7 linked regions of the Mus musculus genome follow. The protein of the gene in region 1 purifies or fractionates together with the protein of each later gene. This does not show direct contact. Links are inferred from orthologs where the notes say so. Each region holds a gene or a part of one and is shown in the gene's direction. Other genes may lie near its edges. The genes, in order: Erlin2, Tmub1, Tmem259, Insig1, Rnf170, Rnf185 and Amfr.

Region 1 (3,059 bases):
GTCATCTGAGCCCTGAGCACTCCCCAGGGCATGCTTGCACATGCACCCATACATACACATAAATAAATGTTTGTAAGTAACTAACTAAACAGTGCTGGAAGCAAGGGTGTCAGTCCAGGCGTGGTAGCATAGTCCTAGAGTCTCAGCACCTAGGGTAAAGGCAGAACAGGGTGGTGGGTCATAGGACATTCTGGGCTGCAGAGCAGGACCCTGGCTCAGAAAAGAAAAGAGACAAGAAAGGAAGAGGAAGAGAAGGAAAAAGATCTCACAGCCCCCGTTGAGCTGAGCTCAGGCTGACAAGTGTGTCTGATCACTCTGACATTGGACCCAAGCAGCAGCTCTTCCTGCCTTTGCTCTCTCTAGAGCCAGGCATGTTGATACACACTGTCATCCATAGCAAGACCCTGTTAGGGGACAGGAGGCAGTTGGTTGCATACTTTCATCTTATTTGCTCTCCAGGCCCACACAGACATTAGGTTAGCCTTGGTGACGACCCTTTTCAGCATGTGCAGCTCTGGAGCTGAGAAGTGTTGGTCACTCGCTTCCAGCCATCGCTCACTGCAGTCCCCTCCTGGGCCCTCACTTCCCCACTGCCCTCACCTTGCTTCATGTAGTGTTCTACATGATTTCCAGGACAAAGGGATCCTCAAGGAAGCTTCAGGCCACAGTGTTCCGTGTAATTATACACTCACTGTGGAGCCTGCAGGTTTTGCAGGGACCTACCAAGCAGCTGATTAGGATGTCACAGATCGTGGGCTCTCACCAGGGAGCTCTTGGTAAAGCAGTGTTTTCATTTCCTATAAATGGTTGTCATGGGGCTGAGAGAGGCACAGCTGCTAAGAGAGATTAATTGCTCATCCAGAGAACCTGAGTTTAGTATCCAGTACACACATTGTGCAGGTCACAACCACCTATAAATCCCACTCCAGAAGGATTTGACCCTCTTGGTTCTGTAGACATCTGCACTTATAAGCACATAATCACACACAGATACACATACTCAAAAATAAACTTTTATAAGATGGATCATTGTGTTGCTTGTGTAGATCGTGCACAGGGCATTTTCTTGAGAGTGAAAAGAGAAATGAAGGGCAGATGAAGTCATCCAGTGGGTGGAAGTGCTTGCTGTCAAACCCGAGGCCCCGAATTTATACCAACAAGCCTAAGGGTGGAAAGAGAGTAATCCACTGGGATTACTGGGTGACATAGAAAAGCGTCTCAAAAACACCAGTAGCGGGCCAGCTGAGATGGCTCAGCAACGGAAGCACTCACTGCCAAGCCTGACAGCCCGAGTTAGATCATGGCAGAGGAGAGACCTGAGTTCCCTAAGTTGTCCTCTCACCTCCACACATGTGCCATGCTGTCCGTGCTCCACCCCTCTCAGTAAATAAACACTGTAATAATGAAAAGGTTTTAATTTTTTTAAAATGGTGGAAAGTAAACAAAAACAACCATAAACCAGCATCCCCAATTAATTATTGCCCCTGAATATTTCCTTGTGAATGTGATTGGAGTGCAGCTGGCGCATCCCCGGGCCACAGGGCTCAAAGCTGAGCTGGGCATCATCACTGAGCCGGAGGGTTACTGCTACATGAAGTGCTGAAGCAGGTCTGAACCAGACAGCGCTCCTCTGGACCAGCATGCACGAATCTAGAGTTAGCCAACCTCATCACTGTTAGAAACTTTGGGGAGATGAAGTTGGAAAGGGTCATCTGTGGTATTGAACAGGCAAGGCAGTGCATGTTTGTAATCCCAGCACTGGAAAGGCAGGGTCAGGGTGACACCATATGATATGCATAGTGTACATCATGTATGATGAAGCCAGATGGAGGTGTCCTGCAGTAAACCAAAGCTCTTGCTGCACTGTCGGGAAGATCTCACGTTACTTTCTTTTAGAGAATTGGTTTCTCTGTACTAACAGGAAGTCTGCATAGTCCAATGCTAGCCTAGCTATAAGGTGAGACCATTTCAAACACAAAACACACACACACACACAAAACAATCTCTCCAAGGCCATGGAGACCAGAAAGTGTCTTTGTTGGGTTTTTGTTTTCTGCAGTGCCAGGAATGGAACCTGGACTTTATGTGTGCTGGACAAGTGCTGTCTATACCACTGAGCTATAATTGCCAGCCCCCAGACTGTACCTCCCATGGTTTTGTACTTGATCCAGTTCCCTGCACCCTTCACCCCTTAGATGCTGCGTTCCTGGCCCGGGAGAAGGCGAAGGCCGACGCTGAGTGCTACACAGCGCTGAAGATCGCAGAAGCAAATAAGGTAAAGGGCGCCTGACCCACCGTCCTGAGGAGGTGTTGCCTCTGCCGCTCGCTACCCAGAGCCCTCACAACAGAACTGAGGACCCTCTGCTGGGTTAGACAGCGCTTCTCTTGTGTGGGAAGCCTTAATAGAAGCTTCATTTTGTATTGAACAGGAAAACTCTGGAAACTGTTGCTACTCTGTCATAGACCTTAGATTATTTTCTCTCAGAAAAAAATGGTTTCTGGGTAACAGGGAGGCCATGAGACATGCAAACACATGTCTGCTTGACAGATGCCCTCCCCAGATGAAGTTCCTCTCTGGTGTCCCCTCCCTAAGCTCTCTTCACTTCCATCACAGCTCAAGCTGACTCCAGAATACCTGCAGCTGATGAAGTACAAGGCCATTGCTTCCAACAGCAAGATTTACTTCGGCAAAGACATCCCCAACATGTTTATGGATTCCGCAGGGGGGCTGGGCAAGCAGTTTGAGGGGCTGAGCGACGACAAGCTGGGCTTTGGCCTAGAAGATGAGCCCCTCGAGGCACCCACAAAGGAGAACTGAGGAAACACTGTCTGCAAGCTCTGCTCGGGCAGCTTAGAGAGAGCTGTATTCTTTAAGATGAGACAGAGCAAAGCGCTCCTCCTTTCCACACTACCTTCCTTGACTCTTCTTACTGTGGTTAAAAAGGAAGAAATGGACACAAACTTACCCCCTTCTGGGAAGGGAGAGCAGATGGAGAGTTGTTTTTTGGGTTTATTTTTAATTCAGGTAAGTAAGTTGTATGACTTCTGAGAAGGTGTAT
Region 2 (4,182 bases), on another chromosome or scaffold:
GAAGAGCAGAGTAGGTTATCTTTAATTAAGACTGGACTGGATGGGGCTAGAGACATGGCTCAGGAGTTAAGAACATTTGCTGCACCTGTTGCTGCTCTTGCAGAGGACCCTAATTCGGTTCCTAACACCTACATGGCTCCAAAAAACTGCCTATTACTCTAGTACTTCCTCTGACCTCCAGAGACGCAAGGCTTGAGTGTGGTGTACTTAAATATACTCAGGCAAACACCCATACAAATATGATATACAAACCCTTGTTTTTAAAAAACTAATTAGGGACTTGTTCTGCAAGCATACGGGCCTCCATTTGACTCCTCAGTATTCATGTCAGAAACCAGGCTTGGGAGCCTCTGCCTGTACCCTTAGCATAAGAGAACAGAGACAAGTCACACAGACACACATGCATGTGCAAACTCCCAAGTCAAAACTGGTCTGTAAAATCTGGGATTCAAGATTTCTGCAGATATTGGAGTCAAAGGAATAAGAAAAAATCTACAGAGATTGGCTGTCACAGATCCATCGTTATATCCTTTATGTGGAAATACTTTTTTAGGGGTGGGAGAATAAAACAGGGTCTTTCTAGGTGACCAAAGTTCTCAACCTCCTAATTGTCCTACCTCAAACTCCCAGTGCTGGGATTACAGGGCTATGTCACCATACTTAGCCAGTTTCTCAGTTTACGTTTTGGTGAAGCCAATGCATTAATACTAGGCGAGCAAAATACAAAAAAATACATAAATTTTACAGAGCTGTCATACTTATTTAATAAAACGAGTTTCTTCTTTCCAACTGACCTAGAAGAATTATACTTGTTCAGAGATTAAATAACCCACCAGAGATTATATAGCTGATGAGTGTCTACATGAGACCGCAGGATGTACACTCAGTTCCAAAGTCTATGCCATCTTTACAATCTCATAGGGACACAGTGCAGCAGAGGCCAGGAGACAGCTGGCGTCAGGCACTCTCCCTAGCAAGTGGGGCAGACAACCTACACCTTCTCAGCAACAGAGTCAATTTAGAAAACCAAGCTGCTTTTTGGCGTCCACAATGACACAGGCTTGGCTGGGTAGTGGCCACCTGCGCTTCCCAGAGCCTTCATCACTGCATCACCAACGCGGGTGCTCTGACATGCTGCAGGATGACGTTGGTGTCAGGAGTGACAGATGCTCCAGCAGCTGGCAGCGGAGATAGAGTTTCTTGCTGCTGACCAAATCTCTGTGGACAAGCAGAAACCCCAGGGTCCTTCCCGTGGGCCCATCGACGATCCAAGGGTACCGGCAACATCTGGTCCAGCCCGGCACGTGGGTTCACAGGGAGGAGGGCGGGAACTAAACAGGGCGAACTACAATCCCCACAATGCTCCCGGGCCGCGGCAGCAGGGAAGGAGAGGGACCTCAGGTGTCTGCGACCTCGGTGCCTTCGGCCCGGAAGTGCCCGAGGAGCCGAGATGGAGCTGGTGGAGCTGGGCGGTGAGTCGCTGTGCGTGGCCGCGCCCACCGGGTCGCCCCAGGCCACAGCTGGGACCTGCTTGCCCCGCCCCGAGATAGCTGGTGCCCTCCAGTAGCTCTGGGGGGCGGGCAGATGGGAGGAGTGATGGAGTAGTCGTGGGGAGGGCTAGGTCTAGGTTCTCCCCGAGGGATCAAGGGTCTGGAGACCTCTGGGTTTGGAGCCCAGGAGGCGCTGGGAGACTGCTGCGGGGTGGGCTTTGGGTGGACCCGAGAAGGTGCCGAGCTGAGTAGACAACTCCCAAGACTCCAGATTGGCCAAGGGTGGAGTTTGACATTTGGGGTTGTCTAGGAAGCTTTGGGAAGTGGTCTTTGTTGTGGGTGGGGTTTGGGTAAATGGTAAGGGGGAGGGCAGGGGGCTAGAGAGACACTTTTATCAGAGAAACTTAAGCGACAGGGCATCAGATGAGCTTTGCTATAAATAGGTGAAGGAGTGAACTTTGGGATGAAGTGAACCAAAGAATAGGTAAGCTTCTGGGTAAAGTTTGATGAAGGTTACATTTAAGGAGAGGGTTGCTTAGAAAAGCAAGGCCCTTTCTTGAACGTAAGGTTTCGGTGAATCGGGTGCTGAATGAAGATCTAGAACTCAGATAGCAAAGCTAGCACTTGGAATCTGGTGATGGGAAGGGACGTTACCCAAAAGCCAAGTTTGGGACTACAGGATGCTGCATCCTGGGTGCGCAAGCACACACAATAACTAGGACAGTTGAAGTTGGAATGACTTCTGACCAGGAAGTAGCCCCTCACCAGTTCTTTGCACCTCTCTAGCTCCTTAGCACCTCTGGCAGCAGCACGGGTGCCATGGCCTTGATTGAAGGCGTAGGCGATGAGGTGACTGTCCTTTTTGCGGTGCTTGCTTGCCTTCTGGTGCTGGCCCTCGCCTGGGTCTCAACACATACCACTGAGAGTACAGACCCCCAACCACAGCCGCCGGGGACCACAACACCAGCACAGCCCAGTGAAGCCATGTCAGCCTCTGACAGCATCAGAGAGGAGGCCCCAGGGGCTGAGAGTCCCAGCCTGAGACACAGAGGTCCATCTGCACAGCCAGAGCCTGACACAGGGGTCACAGCATCAACACCTCCAGACTCTCCGCAGGAACCCCTACTTCTACGGTTGAAATTTCTCAATGACTCTGAGCAGGTAGCCAGGGCCTGGCCTCAGGACACCATTGGCTCCTTAAAAAGGTAAGCTGGGAAGAGGGTAAGAACAAAATGCTAAAAATGGGGTGGGTGTCTATAGAAGGGTCACCCTATGAAGCTCTCCCTTATTTTCTGTTTGAAAAATCTGTCTCCTCACATTATACACCATTCCTGTTAATCTGTCCCCCAGAGGCCAGGATCTGGGTGGTCAGGTGTAGGGGTGGTGAAAATTGGGATTGGTCCTCTGAACAATGGGCCAGGACTGCCTGAGGCCTGCTCTCTTACCCAGGTCCCTCTCTCCTCAGGACCCAGTTTCCAGGCCAGGAACAGCAGGTTCGGCTCATCTACCAAGGTCAACTGCTAGGAGACGACACTCAGACACTAGGCAGTCTCCACCTGCCCCCCAACTGCGTTCTCCACTGCCACGTGTCCACGAGAGTCGGTCCCCCACATCCTCCCTGCCCACCGGGGTCAGAGCCCGGCCCCTCCGGGCTGGAAATCGGCAGCCTTCTGTTGCCCCTGCTGCTTCTGCTGCTGCTCCTGCTCTGGTACTGCCAGATCCAGTACCGGCCCTTCTTTCCCCTGACCGCTACCCTGGGTCTGGCCGGCTTCACCCTGCTCCTCAGTCTCCTGGCCTTTGCCATGTATCGGCCGTAGTGCCTCCACGGGCTTTTGGCAGTGTAGCCAGCCCCTCTGGACCTCATTCCCCAAGGCGCAAAGGGAGCTGCTGTCTGCCCAGGCCCACTTCACCCGCTGCCTGTCTTTTCCCACTACCCTGGAGCCCAGCTTTGCGCCGCAGAGGACTTCGGGTGTTAGCGGAGGCCGCTCCGTGTGATCTTCATAGCTCTAGGCCATCTCCTGGGGCTGCTGGACCTCAGCCTTCGCTGGCAGTGGGCTCTTCTGGATCAGGCACTTGCTGTCGCTGCCTTGGCCGCCAGGGCACCCCAATGGGCCCATCTTAGTGTGCTGACAGAGGATCTAGATACTTCTAGTTTCAAAGAGCTGCCTAGGCTGAATTGGAAACTGGTGGACTGGGAGACTGGTGAAGGGGAATCGAGAGGGGCAGAGTTGTTTTCTGGAATTTGTGCAGATTAAAGAAACTGTGACGTTTTCCTACCCAGTGTGTCTGTGTGTTGCTTGAGGGTGGGGAGCCCTTGTTCTACGAGAATGGAACCTGCCCTAGGTCCTGAGTGCTCAAGCTACCCCAGGGCTGGACAGAGGACCGCCACTCCCGGCACCTTTCAGCGCAAGCTCTGTGGCCCCGCCCCCGCGACGTGCGCATTTCCCGGAAGCGGAGGGCGGGGCTCGCGGCTCCTCTGCTCGCAGCGCCTGCTGGGAGCCACGTCTCCGCCGCCCTGGCGCTGGACTGCGATTGGCGTCTGGGGGCGATCCGGGGGCTGCTGGGAAGATGGCGGACTCGGTGGCCCGCTGATGAGGAGGCCGCGGGGGGAGCCCGGCTCCCGGGCCCCAAGACCAGCTGAGAGAGTGACCTACGCGGGGCCCGGGGAGTCATGTAGGGTGGCGCCTGAGGG
Region 3 (4,224 bases), on another chromosome or scaffold:
TTGTACGGGAATGTGGCAGCTATAGTAGAAAAGGAGACTTCAAAGGGTCAATTGCGTTATTTTGAGATGAAACAAAATATGGAACGCTTCACGAATTTGCGTGTCATCCTTGCGCAGGGGCCATGCTAATCTTCTCTGTATCGTTCCAATTTTAGTATATGTGCTGCCGAAGCGAGCACAAGCGACGGTTTTTTGCCTCAGGTATTTAAAGGCAGAGAAGCAAATTACTTTTCACATACAGTAATTATGATTTTTTTTTGTTTTTGTTTGGATAAAGTAACGTTTTCACATGTCAAAAAGAAAGGCTACCACTCATAACACCGCTCAGAATAATTATCTATCCGCGTGAAAGCTCACATTTAACTAATTAATATAGCTGTCTGGGAGAAGCTTGTGCCAGCGAAGCCTTCTGGGAAGTCATATGCAAATTAGACAGGCACTACGAGGCTCCGCCCCTCAGTGGTAGCCGGATCAGCGCGGAATCCGTGATACTGGTGCGATGGTGAAACTGTCTGCTAGTAAACTATCCATGGAATTTCGCCCTTCAGCGCTGCGGCCGCCAATGAAAACATTATGCTAATGAGCAGTTAGGAAGCCCTGCCTCCCAGGGCAGGGTGGGTAATGAGTCCTCAGCAGACCCCGCCCCTAAGTGAGGCTGTGGCCAGAGTGAAGCCCTATGTAAATAGGCCTTACTAAGTGCGTCTCCGCCCCCTCTAATTCTCCGCCAATAGGAAACCATATACAAATACGACGGGCAACGTCGCCCCGCCCGCAGGTGGATGCAAATGTTTTAGCTTGTTTCTGAGACCACGCCCCACAGATCGCCCACCGCTAACCTGGATCCCTCCACAAACCAAACGAATTACACCCGACACTGCCGCTCAATGCTTAAGATAGAGCTCTGGGCTAAAGACATGGCTAAGAGCACTGACGCCTCTTCCAGAGATCTTGAGTTGAAGTTCCAGCCTCCGTTATGGTGGCTCACAACTCCTTTCTGGTGTATCTGATGCCCTCTTCTGGTGAGACTGAAGACAGCGACAGTGTACTCACATATATAAAGATAAAGCTCAATGCAAATGAATCGTGACACACGACTCCACCCCAGGCCGTGCCACAGTATGTGGGAGTGAATATATGCAAACAAACGGGGCTGCTCTTTAATGCACTCCGTGTAGCCCCTGCAAATTGCAAGCTCACTGCAAACGAGACCGGACAAAGCTTGAAGGAGCACTAGGAAAATAAACTGAACTCCATGGTACTCTGCCCTTTAGCGCTGAGGCGACCCGCATGAAATGTGTAAAGTCAGGCTCCGCCCACTACTCGTGGTGCCCGCCTTTCGGCCCTGAAGCCCGGCCTCCTCGGGCGGCCGCGGCGATCCCAGCGTGCCCCGCGCACGGGCGGCGCTCTGGCCCGGCGCTCTCGCCGGCGTCGCGGGCCGGACGGACGCGAGCAAAGGGGCAGGCGGCGGCGGCGGCCGGGGGCGGCGGGGGGGATCCGGCGGCCGGGACGCGGCGGGGGTCAGCCGGCGGCCGCCGGGGTGACGCGGGGCGGTGATGTCGGAGCACGCGGCAGCCCCAGGGCCCGGGCCCAACGGCGGCGGGGGTGGTGGCGCGGCGCCCGTGCGCGGCCCTCGCGGCCCCAATCTCAACCCCAACCCGCTCATCAACGTGCGCGACCGGCTCTTCCACGCTCTCTTCTTCAAGATGGCCGTCACCTACTCACGCCTCTTCCCACCTGCTTTCCGCCGCCTCTTTGAATTCTTCGTTCTGCTCAAGGTGACCTCTGACCCCTGACCTCTGACCCCTGACCCCAGCTGTCATCCGCTCGCCCACCCCCGGCAACTTTACCACTTGGCTCCTGACGCCTGGATACCCTGATACCACTCTTACAGATGCTATCTCTGGTCCTCACTTCCTCAGCTCTCAGGCCCCGCCTCCTGCCCTTTGGCCTCAGTCTGCCACTTGGGAGCCTAGGCCCCAAATTTTTCCACTCAAGACCAGAGCCCAGTGTCCTCTTGGAGTAGGATTTTGGACTCGAGGTCCACCTTCCCACCTGTCACTCCCATCCTGTCCTGCACCTCCACTGAGAACAATATGGTCATTTCCATTCCATTCCTGACTTTCCACTGTAGACCACCTCCTGTGCTGGAGGCCCTGTCCCGCCTGTCATTTCTATTCTACCCTGATTCTCTCAGTCCAGTCTCTACTAGTCAGTCCCATTCCAGCACACCCTGAACCAACCCCCTGGGGACAGCCCCCTACCCCCCAGTGTCACTGCTCAAATTTTCTGTTACTTCACTGTTTTCAGACTCTTGCCAGGTTTTCTGTGGCTTTGGGTGAGGTCATCTCACTAGGGTCAGCCACAGAGTCACAGCCAGATTGGCCAGGGACCTCTACAGCCAGCACCTGCCCTGGCTGTGTCTTCTTCATGTGCTCCCGGGAGATCCCGGTTCTCGGTCACAAAGGCTACTCGAGGGATGGCACCAGGCTCTCTCTGAGGAGCTGCCTGGGCCTTCTGGTGTTGGGGTCATGGCTTGGTGGCTGGCATGCTGATATTGGAGGGCATTGGTGAGTTTGGGACTCACTCCTGGTGCTTCTCAGAACTGAGCGTTCGGGGGTTTCATAGGTAGATCTAGCTTGAGCTCAAGACAGCTGTGGGCATCCCCTCAGGCCCCAGTTCATTGGCTGCAGATGAGCCCATGCTCCATCTTCCTTCCTGCCCTCCACACCCTCAGGGCTCCGGGTGGGTGCCCAATGTCTAGTCAGAGACAGGGTCGGCTGGATGACAGTAGACCTTATCCTCTTTCTTAACTGGGATAAACAAGCCACACAGCAGCTGGTTTCTGGAGCTGCTGACGTTTCTGGGAGCCCATTTGCTGTGTTTCCTGCCCGTCCTGCCTGCCCAGCTTCCACCCAACCTTCCTAGAAGGGACGCCTCACAGCCAAGGCCTGCTAGGCTTGTACCACCCTGCGCCCTGTTCCCACCCCAGCCTAGGTGTCAGCTCCTACAGAGGCCCAGAGAAGAACTGTTGGGCTTGGTATCTCCTCTGCTGGCTTCAGAGCCTCAAGGACCGAAACTGGGCAGCCATGGGATAGGGGGGCACAGCATGGTGCCTTAGACCTTAGGATGTGGCAGGGGTCAGAGGGCAAGGAGGTATGTGGCACCAGCTCAAGTCCCTGCACCAAGTGGATTTGAGCCCTGAAAGGTGCTAAGTGGCACCCTTGGGTGGGTCATGATCTCGTGGAGATCCTGGCTGAGGCTGGTATTTGGTTTTGTCTTTATAGTGTAGAATAGAGTTTATTCATGGCTCAGGGAAGGGAGTTAAGAGTGTAATAGAGAGCCAGGCGGTGGTGGCGCACGCCTTTAATCCCAGCACTCGGGAGGCAGAGGCAGGCGGATTTCTGAGTTCGAGGACAGCCTGGTCTACAAAGTGAGTTCCAGGACAGCCAGGGCTACACAGAGAAACCCTGTCTCAAAAAAAAAAAAAAAAAAAAAAAAAAAAAGAGTGTAGTAGAGATAGAGAGTAGAGAAGTCGAGGCCGGCCACAGCCGTGAGCATGGGGAGAGAGGGGGAAAGGAAGAGCCCAAGAGGACAAGAGAGAAGCAAGCATATGAGTGAGGCTGGTATTCTGACCCCAGTGCAGGCTTCCCATTGGTCAGATGAACTGACAGCCCAGACACAAGACTGGGGTGACAATGCAATACTCCATCCCACCCCCGCTTACAGGGTAGGAGGTTTCCCAAGAACCCTAGGTCTTGGCATTGAGGTGTCTGTAGGAGGTGATGGTGTGCAGCCCCACCAGGCCGGTATAACCAAGTTCAGTGCCTGTGTATGTGGCATCAAGTGGGCACATGAGGGAGGAGTGCCCAAGGGCCTGAGTGGGGTGACTGGCACGAGTCAGTGACCAGTGAGGACTCGTGGGCTGGCCACAGTGGCCATGGTGGGAAGAGAGGACCCAGGCTATAACCCCTGTCCAGTGGCTATCTTATGTTGACTCTAGATGCCCAGTAGGTGGAACAGGACCTGGGATACAGTTCCTGGCTCTTGGATTGGACTGGGAGGAGTGACTGCTGCGGTCTCAGCCTGGGCTGCTTGGCCTTCAGTTCACCTGATACAGAAATGATTTCTTGCCCAGGGTGAACCTCACAGTTGACAGGGTGGGTGCAGCTTCAGGTGTGGCTCGCTGGAGACTGTAGCCTTGGTCTCAGTCCCTGGGCCTTCCAC
Region 4 (4,276 bases), on another chromosome or scaffold:
TTGGGTAAGCAGAAGAAACAACCAAGTTGGTAACAGAGCAATTGTCTGAAGATATCAACCCCTGCCCCCAGGCAAGCATCACAAAAGCACACAAAGTATTATTAGAACCTCTTAGCCTACTTGGTAAGAATTATAACAAGAGGAAAAAAATCCGGGGGAGAGTCTGTAAAGACAAGCAAAATGGCTTGAGAAAAAGGGACTGAATTACATCTCAGTGCTCACAAGACAGATGCTTGGTGCTGGGGCGTGGGTGCAGGGTCTGGGACTGTCCCATCAAGCCAGCTTCCTGCAAGTGACTGGCATGTCTGTTCCTTAGGGCCAAGTTTCCTATGAGCGATGTGTCTGTTCCTTGGGGGCAAAATTGTGTGTATTTACACAGGTGTCGCTTTCTCAACATCTGTTTAGAGTACTTGCAGCTGATGATGGGTGGTAGAGGCAGCACCTGCTACATCCCACAGCAGAGACTCACTGCCTTTAACAATTTCCTATCAGCTGAAGCTGGGCAGGCCCTCCTGCTTTCTTGCTGTCAAAAAGGCTCCCATGTTGCTGTAATACACCATACAGTACTGATGTCCCCAACCCCCGTGTGTGTATGCCCATGAAACCTCACATGCATGGACTGGCCAGAGTGTGGAAAATGGCGAAGACCCAAGTTGCAACATTCCTTGAAGTCAAAACTGCTTCAAGCTCTTCCAAACAACGCATAGAGCCGCCTAAGAGAGGAGTGGACAGGCTGTGAGGGAAAGACAGCCAGGTCTCCACACCCGTGTCACGCTGGGAAAATGACAGCCCCCATGATCTCTGAGAAACAGCCTGCTTAGGAGGGTGACTTTGTTTTACACTTTTGGCACAAAGCCACATTCCTTACCTAAGGTCTCACACACACACAGTGCCTTTTCAGGCCTGCTCACCACCCTGTGGTTTTAGCCGGTGGCGTCTTGGCTAGGGGAGCCCTGGTCTGAGCTGTGAACCTGCAGAGCACTTGCCATTAGCAGCCAGCCCAAGCGATCCCAGGTCTTTTAAGCACTCAGGAGGGTTTGCGCTCCGGGTCCTTTCCTTCGGACCTGCGTGGACCTCATTATCTCAGAAACCGAGGTCCGGCAGCGCAATAGGGCAGCATCGGACCATCTGACTCGCTGGCCGCCCGCTCCGGTGCCCGCCCCGGCGCCTGCCCGAATAGCGCGCGCTCGAGCGCGTGCCGGGCACCAGCCCCACCCCCCCGGTGGCGTGTGCATACGTCATATGGGCCGCCCTCCTCCCATTGGCTCCGGCGGCCTCACCAGACCCCGAGCGGACAGGCGCGCGGACAGGGCGGGGCCGCTTGAAGACACGCCCCCCAGCAGGGCGCGCGGGCGGCGGATAGGCTGGGTGAGGTCACGTGGCTCCGGTGGCAGCCTGCCTTATAAGCGGAAACCGCGCGGGGCCGCGGCCGCTCCTGGGCCGTCCGGGCGCGGTACGTGTAGTGTCGTGGCGTGTACCTTCCATGCTGTGCCTGGACGCCGATGCCCAGGCTGCACGACCACGTCTGGAACTATCCAAGCGCGGGCGCTGCGAGGCCGTACAGCCTCCCGCGAGGCATGATTGCGGCGGCCGCTTGTCCGCAGGGCCCCGGAGTCCCCGAACCCGAGCACGCGCCCCGGGGCCAGCGAGCGGGAACCACAGGATGCAGCGCGCGGCCGGGCAGCTGGCACCACGACTTGGTGCAGCGGAGCCTAGTGCTCTTCTCATTTGGCGTGGTCCTGGCCCTGGTGCTCAACCTGCTGCAGATCCAGCGGAATGTCACGCTCTTCCCCGACGAGGTGATAGCCACCATCTTCTCCTCCGCCTGGTGGGTGCCCCCGTGCTGTGGCACGGCAGCGGGTGAGTGCCTTTCCTTGTTCTTGGGGTGGGGGAGGGGGATGAAGGGACACGTCAGCTGTTAAAGTCACCCTTGTTACAAGAAAAGGAGAACGGAGAGGGTAGGAAACCCCAGACGTTGGCGAGCGACAGGCGGAAGTTGGAGGGACTAGTGATGGAGATGAGGTCAGGAGATAATTGGCAGTTTAAGTGGAGGAGTCGCAGCTGTCTCGTTGAGCCAGAAGCCAGGATTGGCCGCCTGGAGAACTGGTGAGGGCAGCACCACGCAGCTATTGGCTGCCTGAGCAAACGTGCTACCTCGCTGGATAACTGAAAACAAACCATCACGTGCGCTCAAGAGGCAGTTGCCAGGGGACAGACTTCTCTGCCTTCTGCAGATTGTGGCTATCAGCCAAACCTTCTGGAACTCCGTGCCCAGTAGACTTGGGACAGGAGGAAAAAAGGAGCCTTTGGGCCTAAGCACACCTATGGTGTCACCTCTTAGGCCCAACGAAACTTGTAACAGTGCCACAGTCTTTTTTCTTTCCTTGATCATTTTGCTGCTTTTTGCCAAAAGTGTTGAGTAATTACAGTCCAACAGATCCTGCATAGTTTACAGTGTACAGCGTTGATAACCATTTGTCAAGTGTTTCTCCCCCCTCAGCCCTGCTTGTCCTTGTCCTGTCCTGTGTAGGTGGGCAGTATTTGCTCAGGTGCATCTTTCCTCCAATCTGCAGCCACAGGACAGCAGGAGCAGTGCCTGTCTGCTTTGAAGCCAGCTTTTATTGACTGCCTGCCTATGCTTTATATGCTGGGCTTGGGTGCTGTGCTGTAGCTGAGTCATGGGTTAAATGTAGGATGCAGGACACTTAACTGTTGATTTCCAAGGCTGCTTGCTCTCAGGCTCACCTGCAGCATTATGAGGGTCAGCCACATGACAGTTGTGTGCTTCTTGGTTGTTTTGGACTGGGGGTGGCCTCATTCATGCTAGGCAAATCATCTGCCACCAAACTACTATCCCCAGCATTTAAAAGTTCCTTGGGGAATAAGATGGAGATTTGAATTCTCTTTTCCTTACATATGAAACCTAAGGCTCTTTGAATTTGAAAGTTTATCTTCAACATGAAGCATCATGTTTGTGATGAAAGTTTAAGGGAACCCAGTAAACCAGTTTCTCATCTGAATATGAGGCTGGACTGGTACTGCTTTCACCACTGAGGCTGAGTGCCTGTGTTCACACTGGACAAGGTGGGACGGCAGCCTGACTGAGGTCTTGTGCCCTGTGTCCATGAGACTGCTCCCACTTGTACTGCAGACAGTCCCTCCCTTCCTGGGTTTTACTCTCTTTGTGTCTTCTGGAGTGCCCAACTTCTGCTGTCCAAATGTTTTGGAGTCCAATCTGTGTTTGTGACAGTTCCTAACTCTGAGAACCACAGAACCTTCTTTGCCCTCCACTTTACTTACATAATCCTCATTTCACACATGCGAAAACAAACTCGAGGAGACCTGTCCAGCCTCTCTCCCTTCTTGAGACCCTACCCTCCTCACAGTGTGAGACTTGTCTTCACTGGGGCCAGGTCAAGGCTGAGAAAAAGAGAGCAGTGTGGGGTGGCCTTCCCACAGCCTTTTCTTACAGGTGTATGTAAGGTAATACTTTGTGCTACAGGTGACAAACTGCCGAGGAAAATAAGTGGTTTGGATCCTACTAATAATGACCACACAAGGACTGATTTTCACCAGTGTATCCTAATCCTGTTTTGTTTTTCTTTAAACAGCTGTTGTCGGTTTACTGTATCCCTGTATTGACAGTCACCTGGGAGAACCACACAAGTTCAAGAGAGAATGGGCCAGCGTTATGCGCTGTATTGCCGTGTTCGTTGGCATCAACCACGCCAGTGCCGTATCCTCAGTTGGTGTCTGTGCAGAGGGTCATCTGGGTTGTGGCAGGGTATATTGACACTGCTCGTCCCCTCGTTCCTGAGCTTCAGAGTATGACTTGGCTTTCACGTGGCAGGAATTTTGGGGTTCCGTTCCTAGGACCTCTGTACTAAGAGTAGAAGCAGAGGTTTACTGTGGCTCAGTGGACTTTTGTCCTCTCTCTTGCCTTCTACCCCACTGATGTGCTCTGTGGTAGTGAGAGCCCTGTCCCTGTTCTCTGTCACAGGAGCCCAAGGCTGGTCAGGAGGTCCCTGCGGGCTTCTACTTTCCATAGCTGACATTTTGCCCTTCGTGTAGGCTGCTGTGGTTTTATGCATTTTCTATGAAAATGACCAATTTGATGGTAAACTCTTCAAATGCTAAGTTTCTAGAGCAACTTAGAGTAAAAGATCTTGTGAAGTTGTGTCTGCACTTGGGGCCTTCCTTTCCTGCCAGCCAGCTCTGAGAGTGCTCACTGACAAGCACTGAATCAACTTACCTACTACCTAGGGGACACAGAGAC
Region 5 (3,500 bases), about 910 kb from region 1:
ATGGGTTAATCTAACTTTATAAACTCTGTCCAACAGAAATGTACAGCAGAACATCCATCCAGAAAACCAGGAGCTAGTCAGAGTGCTTCGAGAACAATTCCAAACAGAACAGGTATGCTGATGTAGTATATATATTTATAGAAGGGGATGTTGTAGTTTCCTGTTATAGGAGTGGTGATAAGACATTAGAAAGTAGCTTTAAGAAGCATCAGCTGCTTTACTCCTTACATTATATTGTTCCTCAGACTACATATTTTCAGATTAAGCACATGTTCTTTTGACGGGACTGGGAGGACATCCAGGCAGTCTCGCGTATTCCAGGCTGGCCTGGCACTTGTTGGGGAGCTGAGAATGATCGTGATCTCCTGATCTTCCCGACTCTACCTCGGTCACAGTTACTTTTCTATTGCTGTAACTATAAGTCCAGGTACAGGCAACTTATAAAATAAAGCATTTAACTGGGGGCTTGCTTACTGTTTCAGAGAGTTGGTTCATTATCATCATGGTAGGGAGTGTGGCCGCAGACAGGCAGGCGTGGCTCTGGAGCCGAGTGAGAGACTGGGCTTCAGGTGGGCTTTTGAAACCTTGAAGCCCACCCTGAGTGACAACAAGGCCAAGTCCCCTAATCCTTCCCAAAACAGTTCCATCTGCCAGAGGCCTCGCGTTCAAATGTTATATGACCATTCTCATGGAGACCACTAGACCTCCCAAGTTCTGGAGCTACTGGCAAGAGCGATCAACCTAGTGGCATGTTGACTAGTCTTAATCTATACGGATGCATGCAGTGAGGATTTTGGTTTCTTTGAAAACCACAGAAACATATGGGAATATGTTTTCATTTTAACCTCAGGCGTGGATATGGTGTTACCTCACGTTCTCCACAGCAGCTGACTATGATTTGCATCATCCTTAAGCAGGGGCATGGTTTTGACAGCGTTTTGGAATTCTGGGGACTCTTCAGAGGGTGTCTTAAGTGCTAGAGCCCCATAGATGGCTGCTGGTTGGCTGGTTGGTGGCTGGATGCTGTTGGTTGCGGTTTATCAGGCAGTCGGGTGCAAACAGAAGAAAAGAAGGAACTAGATATCCTGACAGACAAGATCAAATTTGCTCCAAAGAACTTGACGCCCTAGTCAGTAGGAAGTAGTCTCATGATACCATCACCCTCTTTCTCCTCAGTCCTTTTCTCTCGCCTACCTAGTGTTAGGGGTTGGAAGGGTGGAAGAAGAGAGGTAGAGAAGGATGGAAGAAAGAAGAACCCAGAAGTCCAGTTACAGATACATGCATGCTTTTTATCGCCTTGTTCTAAAGGAGAACGATTTTTGTATTTGTTGTTTGTATAAAAAATGTAGTCAACTTTAACGGAAATGAAATAGATACTTCCTTTTTTATTTCTCTCTCTCTCTCTCTCTTTTTTTTTTTTTTTTTTGACACAGAATTACATGGTCCTGGCTGGTCTGGAACTTGCTGTGTAGACCAAATTGACCTCAAATTCATAGAGACATGCTTGCCTCTGCCTCCCTAATGCTGGGCTTATAGATATGAGCTATTCTGTTGGCTTTTGTTATATTCTTTGAAAAACATCAAGAAAGGTATAAGTTTTTATTTTAATATTAATTACTGGTTTTTTTTGTTTTTTTTTTTTTTTGAGGCAGGGTTTCTCTGTGTAGCCTTGGCTGTCCTGGACCTCACACTGTAGATCAGGCTGGTCTCCAACTCATGTAGATCTGCCTGCCTCTGCCTCCTAAGTGTGCAACACTGCCTGGTAGTATTTACATATTTTAATATTTTCATTTTGTAGTATTAACACTGGAATAACAATGCTACCTTCAATTATTTTAGTAATTAGTGCTATTTTAAGAAATTAAAATTCTAATTATAATATCTTAACATTTATCAAAAGTTCTTTAATTCATTTTATAATTAAGTTTGTATTTACTACTTTTGATTTTTGTGATAATTTTATTTTAAAAAGTTTAATACCTATTTATTGTATGTGTATGAATGTTTTGCCTAATGTATGTGCATCATGTATGTGCTTGGTGCCATAGAATTCAGAAGAGGATGTTAGAGCCCCTGCAGCTGGAGTTAGAGATGATTGTGAGCCATCATGTGTGTGCTGGGAACCAAACACATGAACGGCAAGAACGGGTCATGCCCTAAACTGCAGAGCCAGCTTTCCAGCCCTTGATGAAGGTGTACGTTTGCGTTAGTGCTGGATAGTTTTCTAGGTCCTTAGGTACTACAGTGAATCCTATAAGTGGAGTTTTTGCCTTCACGGCATTTTATTCCAGAATCATATTTGATGTGTGGTACTTGTACTACTATCTGATCACAACAGTGATACAATCAAAGAATATGCATATATTACATATTTGCGTGGTTTGGGGTTTTAAGACAAGGTCTCATGTAGCCCAACCCTGGGACTTGTTAGGCAGCCAAGGGTAATTTGGAACCCTTACCTTCCCGACCCTGCGTCCTCACTGTTGGGATTACAAACATGCAATGAGAAGCATGTTAACATTTACTAGGGTGGGTTTCCAAAGGACCACGTTCACATGACCAAAAGTGGTCATTTTTTCCCTACTTATAAAATGAGCAAATAATCTTAACTGGAAGATTAATTCTTGTGGAAGATAGAGCAGATATGCAAAACTTTACAGGGGACAGGTGTTCAATGAAAAGGATGACGCCAGACACGGTCCTGCAATGCTAGCATTTGAGAAGCTGGGGAGAATTGCTGCTGTAAGGTCCAGGTCTGACAGGGCTACAAAACAAGACTGTTTTAAAAACCAAAAAGGTTGTTTAAAATGTTAAAAAAATTGGTGAATATTAAGAATGATAGTTTGATATTTTTTCTGTTTTTATGGTATTGAGGATCAGACCCAGGGCCTCATGCATGTTAAGTGGGTGCTCTCCCTCTGAGTTACACTGAAGCAGGGTGTTTCGGATTCTCTAGTTTATATCGCAGCTTGTAGAATTCAAATAACATGCATTTTAATAAAGTAGAAAAGCTAGCTTTGAGTTAATCTACATTTTGTTTTCAAGTTGTGTGTAGGGAGGAAGGTGAAGGCCACTGAGTTCAAATAAAACAACTTTGCAAGCTTCTCAGACTTGCAAGACGTTAAACTATTGCGCATGTGTAATTTCTGTCTTGAGAGATGTCTGTGTCCTTTCCCCAGGATGTCCCTGCTCCTGCCCGACAGCAGTTCTACACTGAAATGTACTGTCCAATCTGCTTACATCAAGCCTCCTTTCCTGTTGAAACAAACTGTGGACATCTCTTTTGTGGTGAGCAAATTATGTCCGACTTGGTTAGAGTCACCAGCTTGAGACCTTTGTGGATTGGTAGTGGGCTAGATTGCTCATTTTCTTTTTATCACATTTATGTTCTGAGAAGAGTAGATTGCTTCACAAGTCCTGCTCTAGTTGCCACCCAAATAATAGCATATTGTTTAGTGTATTCCATACTAAGGTCTGAGGATATTGCTCAGTTGGTAGAG
Region 6 (4,009 bases), on another chromosome or scaffold:
CTACTCTCTGTTTTTTGTTTTTGTTTTTTTGAGCTGGGTTTCTCTGTGTAGCCCTGGCTGTCCTGAACTTGCTTTGAAGATCAGGCTGTCCTGGAACTCACAAAGATCTGCCTGCCTCTGCCTCCCAAGTGCTGGGATCAAAGGTGTGCACCGCCAATACCACCTGTCCTTTTCCATTTCTTGATAAGTTGTCTAATTTTATTCCATGCCTAGTTTAAAAGGTGTGACCTTTTCTCCATCTTCTGGCAGCTGTTAGAGTTTTCAACTAGCCTTGATTGCTTTTTTCAAACTCTAATAAAGTTGTCCTGAGCTTCCTTTGAGTCTCTTCTAAATTCTTGTATTAATGATACTAAGAACCCCCCAAAGAATCTTACTTTTTCCAGGAACAGAAGGAGGAGGAGTATTCTGACCGATCCCTCAGGTCCCCCACAGGTGGAGCTAGAGATTGATAAGGTCAAGGACTCTGGGGAGAGGATGCAGGCTCACCTGCCATCTGGCGTTTGGGCTTTCACACTGGCAAGCAGAAGCTGAAAGCCATCCAGTACAGGATACAAGGCCGGTGTGCCAGCCCTACCTCAGCTTACACACAGGAATGCTACTGCTACTGCTTGTCCGAGGCAGGACGGAAGTCCCTTCTTGTTCTACAGAATGAGGTGTGCCGGCTCTCCACCCCCCACTCCCCCCACCCCTGCAACAGCACAGCTATGCAGCTTTGTAGGAGCTGCACAGCAAAATCACTCACCTGCACTGAGCACTGTTGCACTGGACTCACATGTTTTTATATATGGAAAGCTAAAACACCAATTTTTCTAGTTATTTTTAAATATAATAAATGCACTTGCTACTGTAAAAAAAAAACAATCCCTCATTGGTTACAAGTTCATCTAATTAGTTTTAAAATAAATTACCATGTATTTATTAAGTGTCTCTGTATACATGTGAAGGTCTGATGACAACTTGCCAGACTCCTTTCCTTCCACCGCTGGGTTTCTGGGGACTGAACTAGAGTTGACAGGCTTGGCAGCAAACATCTTTACCTCTGAACCATCTCATGGGCTCCAATTAGTTATACTCTTATTACCTTTATTATTTTGATACTGAAATTTCACAGATTTGGCTAGTAGAGTCTTCAAGAGAGCTCCTGGGTCGTTTTGCACATTCTCATCCATCACCACTGTTAGCATTCCTTCTAGGCTCCGCCCCACAGTTACCTGGCAACAGCGAGGTATGCCCGGCTTACTATAAAAGGGGCTGTTCGCCCCCTCCTCTCCCTTACTCTTTGCCCCCTTCCCCCTCCGCCCTCTCTCTTCACGCGTTCCTGGCCGGCCTCTCTCCCTTCTCCTCATTCTCTACTCCCTTTCCTACTCCACTTCCCATGCCTCCTCCTCCTGTTCTTCTTCTTTATAAAACAGAACAACCACTGACCTTACTTTCTTGTACAAGGCATTCCAAACTGGTATTTCTAGAACTGGCTTTTTCATCCGCCCATTATTTTTGCGACACGGTCCCATGTATCCCAAGCCTGCTTCGAAAACGACATTGAAGTTCTGACCCATCACCCGAATGAATGCTATGATTAGCTGGCGGGTACGCACATATTTATTCCCACGTCTTCACGCGGGCGAGGCGAGCTCGCCCATCCACCGAGCTGCCTTCCCTCCTCTTCCAGCGCTAGGAAACCCTACGGAAAGACCAGACGCCCTCCCCTTCCTGTCCCGGGGCGGAACTTACCAGCCGGGCGCCTGGGCCGGAGAGCAGCGCTGCACACCAGCCTTTTCCGGCTGGAACCGGAAGTTGTTCTACTAGAGGCGGCTCCGCGTCAGGTGACCAAGTTCCCGGTAGGAGGGGTCGGAGGTTCAATCTTTCTGACTGACGCGTCTCTAAGACTGGCTCGGCTACTCCGGGACGGGGGAACGGACAGCTGGCGTCGCTGGCGCTCGCTCTACCGCGGCGGCAGGTAGGTGACGAGCTGGGACGGCGGGCCCGGGAGGCATGGGACCCCCTTCCCAGGCTCAGGGATCTGAAGCCAAGGGCCAGGAGTCATCCAGTCTGGCTCTGTCCAGGTCCCAGAAGGAAGGTCAGACTGGCATCCGTGGGTACAGATTGGGCAAACTAAGGCCCCAGAAAAGGGAAAGAAGGGTGCGCACAAGCTCCCCTTCCAGACGGGGCTCGTCCTGACTCCCGTAGCCTCGGGGGCGGGACCGCCTCTCTCGTGGGTGGCGATTTGGTGGAGTGGAAAGATGAGGAATGCGGTGAACAGATTTGGGGTGAAGCGTAGGAGACCTGGACTTGAGTTCGCTGCCTGCAGCTCACTGTGCGTTCGAGGCCAAGTCTTTGACCTCCCTGAACCTAGTTCCCACAGCTGTACAACCGGGCACAGCTGTCTCAAAAGCGTGGGCCTCCACAGCACCTGCTCCGAAACCCTCCGGGATGCCGGCTCTCCAGCCCTGGGCTTTTCCCACAGCTTGTTTCGAATCTGGGTCTGGATCCTAGGAAACCTTATTTTGAACGTTCTCCTCTGGAGTCCTACTCGTGTTTGAAGCCTGCTCATCCGAAGTGCGGTCCCGCTGTGAATGCGGTACTCGATTCGAGGCAGCTGGAGCCGGCTCGATTCTATGAAACTTCTAGCTTAGGAAAGAACGCCGGAGGAGAATAACTAACTATCTTTAAAAGCTGGCGCGGGGTGGGGGTGGGGGTTGGGTGGGGGAGTTATGGCAAAGAGGCCTCCTGCTTGATCTTTGTAGCTGAAAGAGGTACAGCTACGATTAATAGGTAGGTTCTAGGGGGAAGACACATGTGTACTTACTATTAAGAATTTAACGGAAGAATTATCAGAGGTGACGACTGATGGGGATTGACTGTCTCCTTGGGAAAGGAAGTATACAGGAGGCGGCCCTTTCCAATTTAAAAGGCTCGTATTAGTATTTATTGTGACTCTTACCTCTCCACTGATAACTCTGTCTTCAGAGTGTATGTGATACTTCTTTTGTGGTCTGAGACAGGGTCTCAGGGATCTCAGGCTGTCCTCAAGCTCCTTTTGTAGTTGGCCTTGAACCCGGATCCTGCTGTTTCAGTCTTAAAGAGTGCCAGGATCACTCGTTACTTAGTACCATTATGCCTACAGAATGTGACATTTCTTTGTCTTCCCTTCTGGACTCTCCTCCCTAGTTTATATCTCCTATCAATAAGGCCAGCACACTTGATCTTATGTAATCTTTTACTGGTTGTCACATTTGTCATCCTTCTTTTCATCATCCTTTTTGGAATGATCCATTATCTGATAAAAATTATCCAAAGTATATGTTGTATTAATAAACAGGAAATAAAAATTAATTAACTAAAATTAATACATTGGTCAGTTAGTAATTTTTGTTTTACATTTAAGTTTTTAAAATTTATTTTAAGTCGGGGTCTCACTCTGACATTCAGCTCAGGCTGAGAACAATTTAGAAAGTCAGTCTCTGTCTGTCTTATCTGTGTCTCTCTGTCTTTTTCTCTGTCTATCTCTGCTCTCTTCCTCTCTGCCTCCATCCCTCTCTTCCTTTTCCAGAGTATTATTATGTAGCCCAGGGTGACTTCAAACTGGTCCCCCTGCCTTAGCCTCCCAAATGCTGGGATTGCTTGTTTTGCCCAAGGCTTTGCTTGCCAGTGGGCTCTGATTACAGAATGGAAGGCCAATTCAGTTGTTTGGGTCAGTCTTCTCTCTGGTTTATAAACTGAACTTTAATTCTTTGTCTAGCAGTGTGTGTATAGGTGTGAGAGTGTCTGCAGTTTTTAAGCTAGCTTTCTGGATGCCCAGCACATATGACCAATTCTTTTATGGTCCTGACTTGCATACCTATAGCTTTGTAATCTAACTTTAGATTTCCTTATTTTGCACTTTACCAGACACTAAGTAGATAACTTTTCCATCTCCCATTAGAGTACTTAAGAATGCTTATGTTGTCTGGAGAAGCAAAGATTCCATATTATGACCCAATTCTGCTGACACTTCCTCCACAAAACAAAA
Region 7 (3,500 bases), about 67 Mb from region 1:
TAGTATTTAACTGACTGGATTTTCTGGTAGAAAGATTTATGATAGAAAGTTCAATAAAATGGATCCAGCTTTGTTTCCCTTTTTCTTTTCCTCAATTGGTGGAGAGCTAGGTGAGGAGGGGAGAATGCTTGTAGAGACTCTTCCCACTTTGCTTTGATTTGATTGGGATAAAATGTTCCTTCCAGTCCACATGCTGTGAGGGGGTCTCCAGTGATGCGGAGCCTTGGGCCCTCTGGGCACTGAACATCTTGCCATTGTCTCTCCCAAGTGACTCAGCAAAGCTCTGGACAGTTTTCACCTGAGCTGCTCTTTCAGTTGCAGTGCTGAGACACAAGCCATCACGTGCAGTTTGTGATGCTGTGCTCCTTTGAAACTGACATCCAGGCTGGGCAGTGGTGGCACACACCTTTAGTCCCAGCACTTGGGAGGCAGAGGCAGGCGGATTTCTGAGTTCCAGGCCAGCCTGGTCTACAGAGTGAGTTCCAGGACAGCCAGGGATATACAGAGAAACCCTGTCTCGAAAAACCAAAAAAAAAAAAAAAAAAAGAAAAGAAAAAAGCAAAACAAACAAAAAAAGAAAAAAGGAAACTGACATTCAGTCGTACTCCAAGGCAGTGGTCTTTCCTGCTTCTTCCTCTCTCTTTTCTCTCTTGCTCTGTAAATTATGGAGATTTTTCTACAATACAAACCTAGAATGCAAGCATTTATAAAATATATTTATATGTATAAAACACATGCATGTGTTCACACACACAAGTTTTGAGGTGCTTGAATGGAAGTATGGATGAATTTGAAGTATGGATGGAAATTTATGTATTTGTCCTGTACACACATGGCTAAACCTCTAAGTGTGTGCAGTGATGGATCTAGAGCATTGTTTGAAAATTGTAGTTCTGAGGCAGTACTAGATATTTTCATAATCCTAGTATGTACCCAGGTTGGTATTGAACTTATAGATCCTCCTGCCTCTGCCTCTGGGTGCTAGAGTGAGAGTGGCATGTCACCATGCCTGGCTAAAAATTGACTTTTATAAATTAAAAAGATGGGCTGGAGAGATGGCTCAGTGTTAAGACCACTGACTGCTCTTCCAAAGGTCCCGAGTTCAATTCCCAGCAACCACAAGGTGGCTCACAACCATCTATAATAGGATCTGATGCCCTCTTCTGGTCTGTCTGAAAATAGCTACAGTGTACTCATACACAAAATAAATAAATCTTAAAAAAAAAAGTTTATAAATTAAAAAATATATTTTACGTTTTGCATATAGAAACTTACATTCTTTAATTCTATTTTTTAAAGTTGCGCTTATTATTTGTATGCAGTAAAAATGTGCTTTGGTTAATCTCAAGTTTAGCTCACACAGCTGTGTAGACTTAATCTAACAAGAGTCAGAGTGGCTCTGCTGCTCCTCTCTGTGGGTCCAAGGTTCTTTTGAGGTCAGTTTCTCCCCAGCCAGGGCCTCCTGCCTGCTAGACAAGCTCCTGAGCAGAACGCCCAGCCCCACATTGCTCTGCTTTCCCTCTCCCTGTGCCTGTTTCCAGATGTCATCTAATGGAGTCCCAGTCTGGCTCTCCCTTGGCATAGTGGATATGAATACTACACATGCTGTGTCTGAACATCGAACTTTAGAAGGATCCTGTTAGCTTAGGATACACGTAGGTAGATACTGGCACACATAAAGTCATCAAATAGATCTTTAAAGCCAGAAGATACTCTGACTTGACCCTTTCTTGAGATACTACTAGATTTCTGTCTGCTCTTTACTTTGAAATTGCTGGTATCCCAGAAGTCTAGTACCCTACAACAATAAAAAGAAAGCAGTGTGCAGGTGATCTGCTGAGCCAAAATGGCCTTTACCTGTGCTTTCAAGATAATGATGTCAGCCTCTGTGTCCAGGGCCTGCCAAGTGTGCGTACTGACCCTCAAATCTGCTGAGAGTGACCTTTGCTGTGTGTCCTTCATGTTTCTCTAGGCTCATCAGATTCAGGAGATGTTCCCTCAGGTCCCGTACCACCTTGTGCTCCAGGACCTCCAGATGACACGCTCCGTGGAGATAACAACAGATAACATCTTAGAAGGACGGATTCAAGTACCTTTCCCCACGCAGGTAAAACTGGAGCTTTATGCCTAACAAATGTATTTTATTTTTACAAAGAATTAGTCCTAACACCTAAATATTATTTATAATTTGAGGAAGGGTTTATATGAATTTCATTTCATTCAAATCTTTCATGAGAACAGATTAACCAAAGGTAAATACAGATAATCCAAGTACATTTTATGCAGAAACATACCCCAAATCAGCTTTCCCTCACTGCAGGTCTGTACCGGGACGCCATTGGCTCCTGTCAGAGGCTGGCATCTATTTTTGTGAAGAGCAAAGAGTGACTATTTAGGCTCTGCTTGGTCCACAGTCTGCTGCAAATAAAGTGGCCATTGGCAGTGAGGATGTGGATGAGCAAGACTGTGGTCCAGTAAAACATTCTTTGTAGAAGTAGAGAGGGGCGAACATGGGGCTATGGTTTATGGAGCACTGGCACTCCAAGAGAAGGCTGGTTGTACATCATGTGGTGTGTTAGTGACAGTTCACATCTCTCAGGGAGCTGAGGCTTGGACTTTGGACTTCATTAAAAAGGTCAGAGTTTGTGCCTCATCACTCGGCCTCTGAGAGAGGCACAGAAAAAGCAAGAGAGGAGCCTTCAGTAATACTGAGGAATGTAATATAAGGCCAGACAGTCATCTACCAAAAGTTCCTGTGTACAGCCTATAAGTGAACAGAAATATATCAATACAATTCAAAAAGATGAAGCTCTTTTGACGAGTGTAGCCTTTGGAGACAGCTGGGCTAAGGTGCTAGCTATATGGTCCCTTGGGTCTCAGCTCTCTGACCTGATTGTTAGCTGCCTTTGGAGCTGGCAGAGTTGCCTCATATGGCTGGATAGGGCTGTCAGTGAAACACATAAACCAGACAGCAGACATGAAGGTACTCAGACCTTAAGCGATAAAGCCTGTGGGGAGGACCCAGAACATCTCTAGTCTGGAGACTTAATTGCAATGCCTGCTTCAGAGCACTTTAGGAAGGTTATGAAAACCGGGAACAGTGTTTACTCCGCGCAGTTGACCTTTGCCCTTGCTTTTGTTGTGCAATCACTATTATTGAACAGGAAGCTGAATATGGAGCAGTTACTAACTACTCTCAAACATGGAACTCCATGAGGGCCTCCACATCCTTCGTCTCACCTTTCAGGCTGTGAGCTGTGTCGAAAACTGTCACCTGCCCCTTTGTCACCCCACCCTGAATGACTGCATGCTTTCTTTCAGCGGTCGGATAGCCTGAGGCCTGCACTGAACAGCCCAGTGGAGAGGCCCAGCCCTGACCTGGAGGAGGGAGAAGCTTCTGTCCAGGTGAGGTCAGCTTACCAGGAGCTGTGCTGCAGGAGTGCAGCGTGGTCCTGCGTTACTTACGGCCACCTTGCCCTTGGCAGCAACAGCTTAAGGGA

The links.
Region 2: the proteins of Erlin2 (region 1) and Tmub1 purify together in Homo sapiens (affinity purification with mass spectrometry; 4 studies listed by BioGRID and IntAct, with this or other methods). This does not show direct contact. The link is inferred for Mus musculus from reciprocal best matches to the Homo sapiens genes ERLIN2 and TMUB1.
Region 3: the proteins of Erlin2 (region 1) and Tmem259 purify together in Homo sapiens (affinity purification with mass spectrometry; 3 studies listed by BioGRID and IntAct, with this or other methods). This does not show direct contact. The link is inferred for Mus musculus from reciprocal best matches to the Homo sapiens genes ERLIN2 and TMEM259.
Region 4: the proteins of Erlin2 (region 1) and Insig1 purify together in Homo sapiens (affinity purification with western blotting; 4 studies listed by BioGRID and IntAct, with this or other methods). This does not show direct contact. The link is inferred for Mus musculus from reciprocal best matches to the Homo sapiens genes ERLIN2 and INSIG1.
Region 5: the proteins of Erlin2 (region 1) and Rnf170 purify together in Homo sapiens (affinity purification with mass spectrometry; 4 studies listed by BioGRID and IntAct, counting the BioPlex papers as one, with this or other methods). This does not show direct contact. The link is inferred for Mus musculus from reciprocal best matches to the Homo sapiens genes ERLIN2 and RNF170.
Region 6: the proteins of Erlin2 (region 1) and Rnf185 purify together in Homo sapiens (affinity purification with mass spectrometry; 5 studies listed by BioGRID and IntAct, with this or other methods). This does not show direct contact. The link is inferred for Mus musculus from reciprocal best matches to the Homo sapiens genes ERLIN2 and RNF185.
Region 7: the proteins of Erlin2 (region 1) and Amfr purify together in Homo sapiens (affinity purification with western blotting; 4 studies listed by BioGRID and IntAct, with this or other methods). This does not show direct contact. The link is inferred for Mus musculus from reciprocal best matches to the Homo sapiens genes ERLIN2 and AMFR.

Annotation. Positions count from the first base shown.
Region 1 is NC_000074.6:27,033,819-27,036,877, forward strand, and holds part of Erlin2 (erlin-2), read left to right. Parts: intron 1-2,195; coding exon 2,196-2,275; intron 2,276-2,614; coding exon 2,615-2,818; 3' UTR 2,819-3,059. UniProt on the Homo sapiens protein: Component of the ERLIN1/ERLIN2 complex which mediates the endoplasmic reticulum-associated degradation (ERAD) of inositol 1,4,5-trisphosphate receptors (IP3Rs) such as ITPR1.
Region 2 is NC_000071.6:24,445,047-24,449,228, reverse strand, and holds Tmub1 (transmembrane and ubiquitin-like domain-containing protein 1 precursor), read left to right. Parts: upstream 1-1,382; 5' UTR 1,383-1,472; exon of another isoform or gene 1,473-1,482; intron 1,483-2,276; 5' UTR 2,277-2,309; coding exon 2,310-2,695; intron 2,696-2,955; coding exon 2,956-3,307; 3' UTR 3,308-3,766; downstream 3,767-4,182. Other genes in the region: Fastk (fas-activated serine/threonine kinase), read left to right, coding at 4,082-4,163. UniProt on the Homo sapiens protein: Involved in sterol-regulated ubiquitination and degradation of HMG-CoA reductase HMGCR. Involved in positive regulation of AMPA-selective glutamate receptor GRIA2 recycling to the cell surface.
Region 3 is NC_000076.6:79,981,461-79,985,684, reverse strand, and holds the start of Tmem259 (membralin), read left to right. Parts: upstream 1-1,424; 5' UTR 1,425-1,553; coding exon 1,554-1,775; intron 1,776-4,224. UniProt on the Homo sapiens protein: May have a role in the ERAD pathway required for clearance of misfolded proteins in the endoplasmic reticulum (ER). Promotes survival of motor neurons, probably by protecting against ER stress.
Region 4 is NC_000071.6:28,069,936-28,074,211, forward strand, and holds the start of Insig1 (insulin-induced gene 1 protein), read left to right. Parts: upstream 1-1,476; 5' UTR 1,477-1,502; coding exon 1,503-1,860; intron 1,861-3,611; coding exon 3,612-3,736; intron 3,737-4,276. UniProt on the Homo sapiens protein: Oxysterol-binding protein that mediates feedback control of cholesterol synthesis by controlling both endoplasmic reticulum to Golgi transport of SCAP and degradation of HMGCR.
Region 5 is NC_000074.6:26,125,868-26,129,367, forward strand, and holds part of Rnf170 (E3 ubiquitin-protein ligase RNF170), read left to right. Parts: intron 1-36; coding exon 37-112; intron 113-3,179; coding exon 3,180-3,288; intron 3,289-3,500. UniProt on the Homo sapiens protein: E3 ubiquitin-protein ligase that plays an essential role in stimulus-induced inositol 1,4,5-trisphosphate receptor type 1 (ITPR1) ubiquitination and degradation via the endoplasmic reticulum-associated degradation (ERAD) pathway.
Region 6 is NC_000077.6:3,450,157-3,454,165, reverse strand, and holds the start of Rnf185 (E3 ubiquitin-protein ligase RNF185), read left to right. Parts: upstream 1-1,209; 5' UTR 1,210-1,957; intron 1,958-4,009. UniProt on the Homo sapiens protein: E3 ubiquitin-protein ligase that regulates selective mitochondrial autophagy by mediating 'Lys-63'-linked polyubiquitination of BNIP1.
Region 7 is NC_000074.6:93,974,641-93,978,140, reverse strand, and holds part of Amfr (E3 ubiquitin-protein ligase AMFR), read left to right. Parts: intron 1-1,972; coding exon 1,973-2,107; intron 2,108-3,321; coding exon 3,322-3,405; intron 3,406-3,500. UniProt on the Homo sapiens protein: E3 ubiquitin-protein ligase that mediates the polyubiquitination of lysine and cysteine residues on target proteins, such as CD3D, CYP3A4, CFTR, INSIG1, SOAT2/ACAT2 and APOB for proteasomal degradation.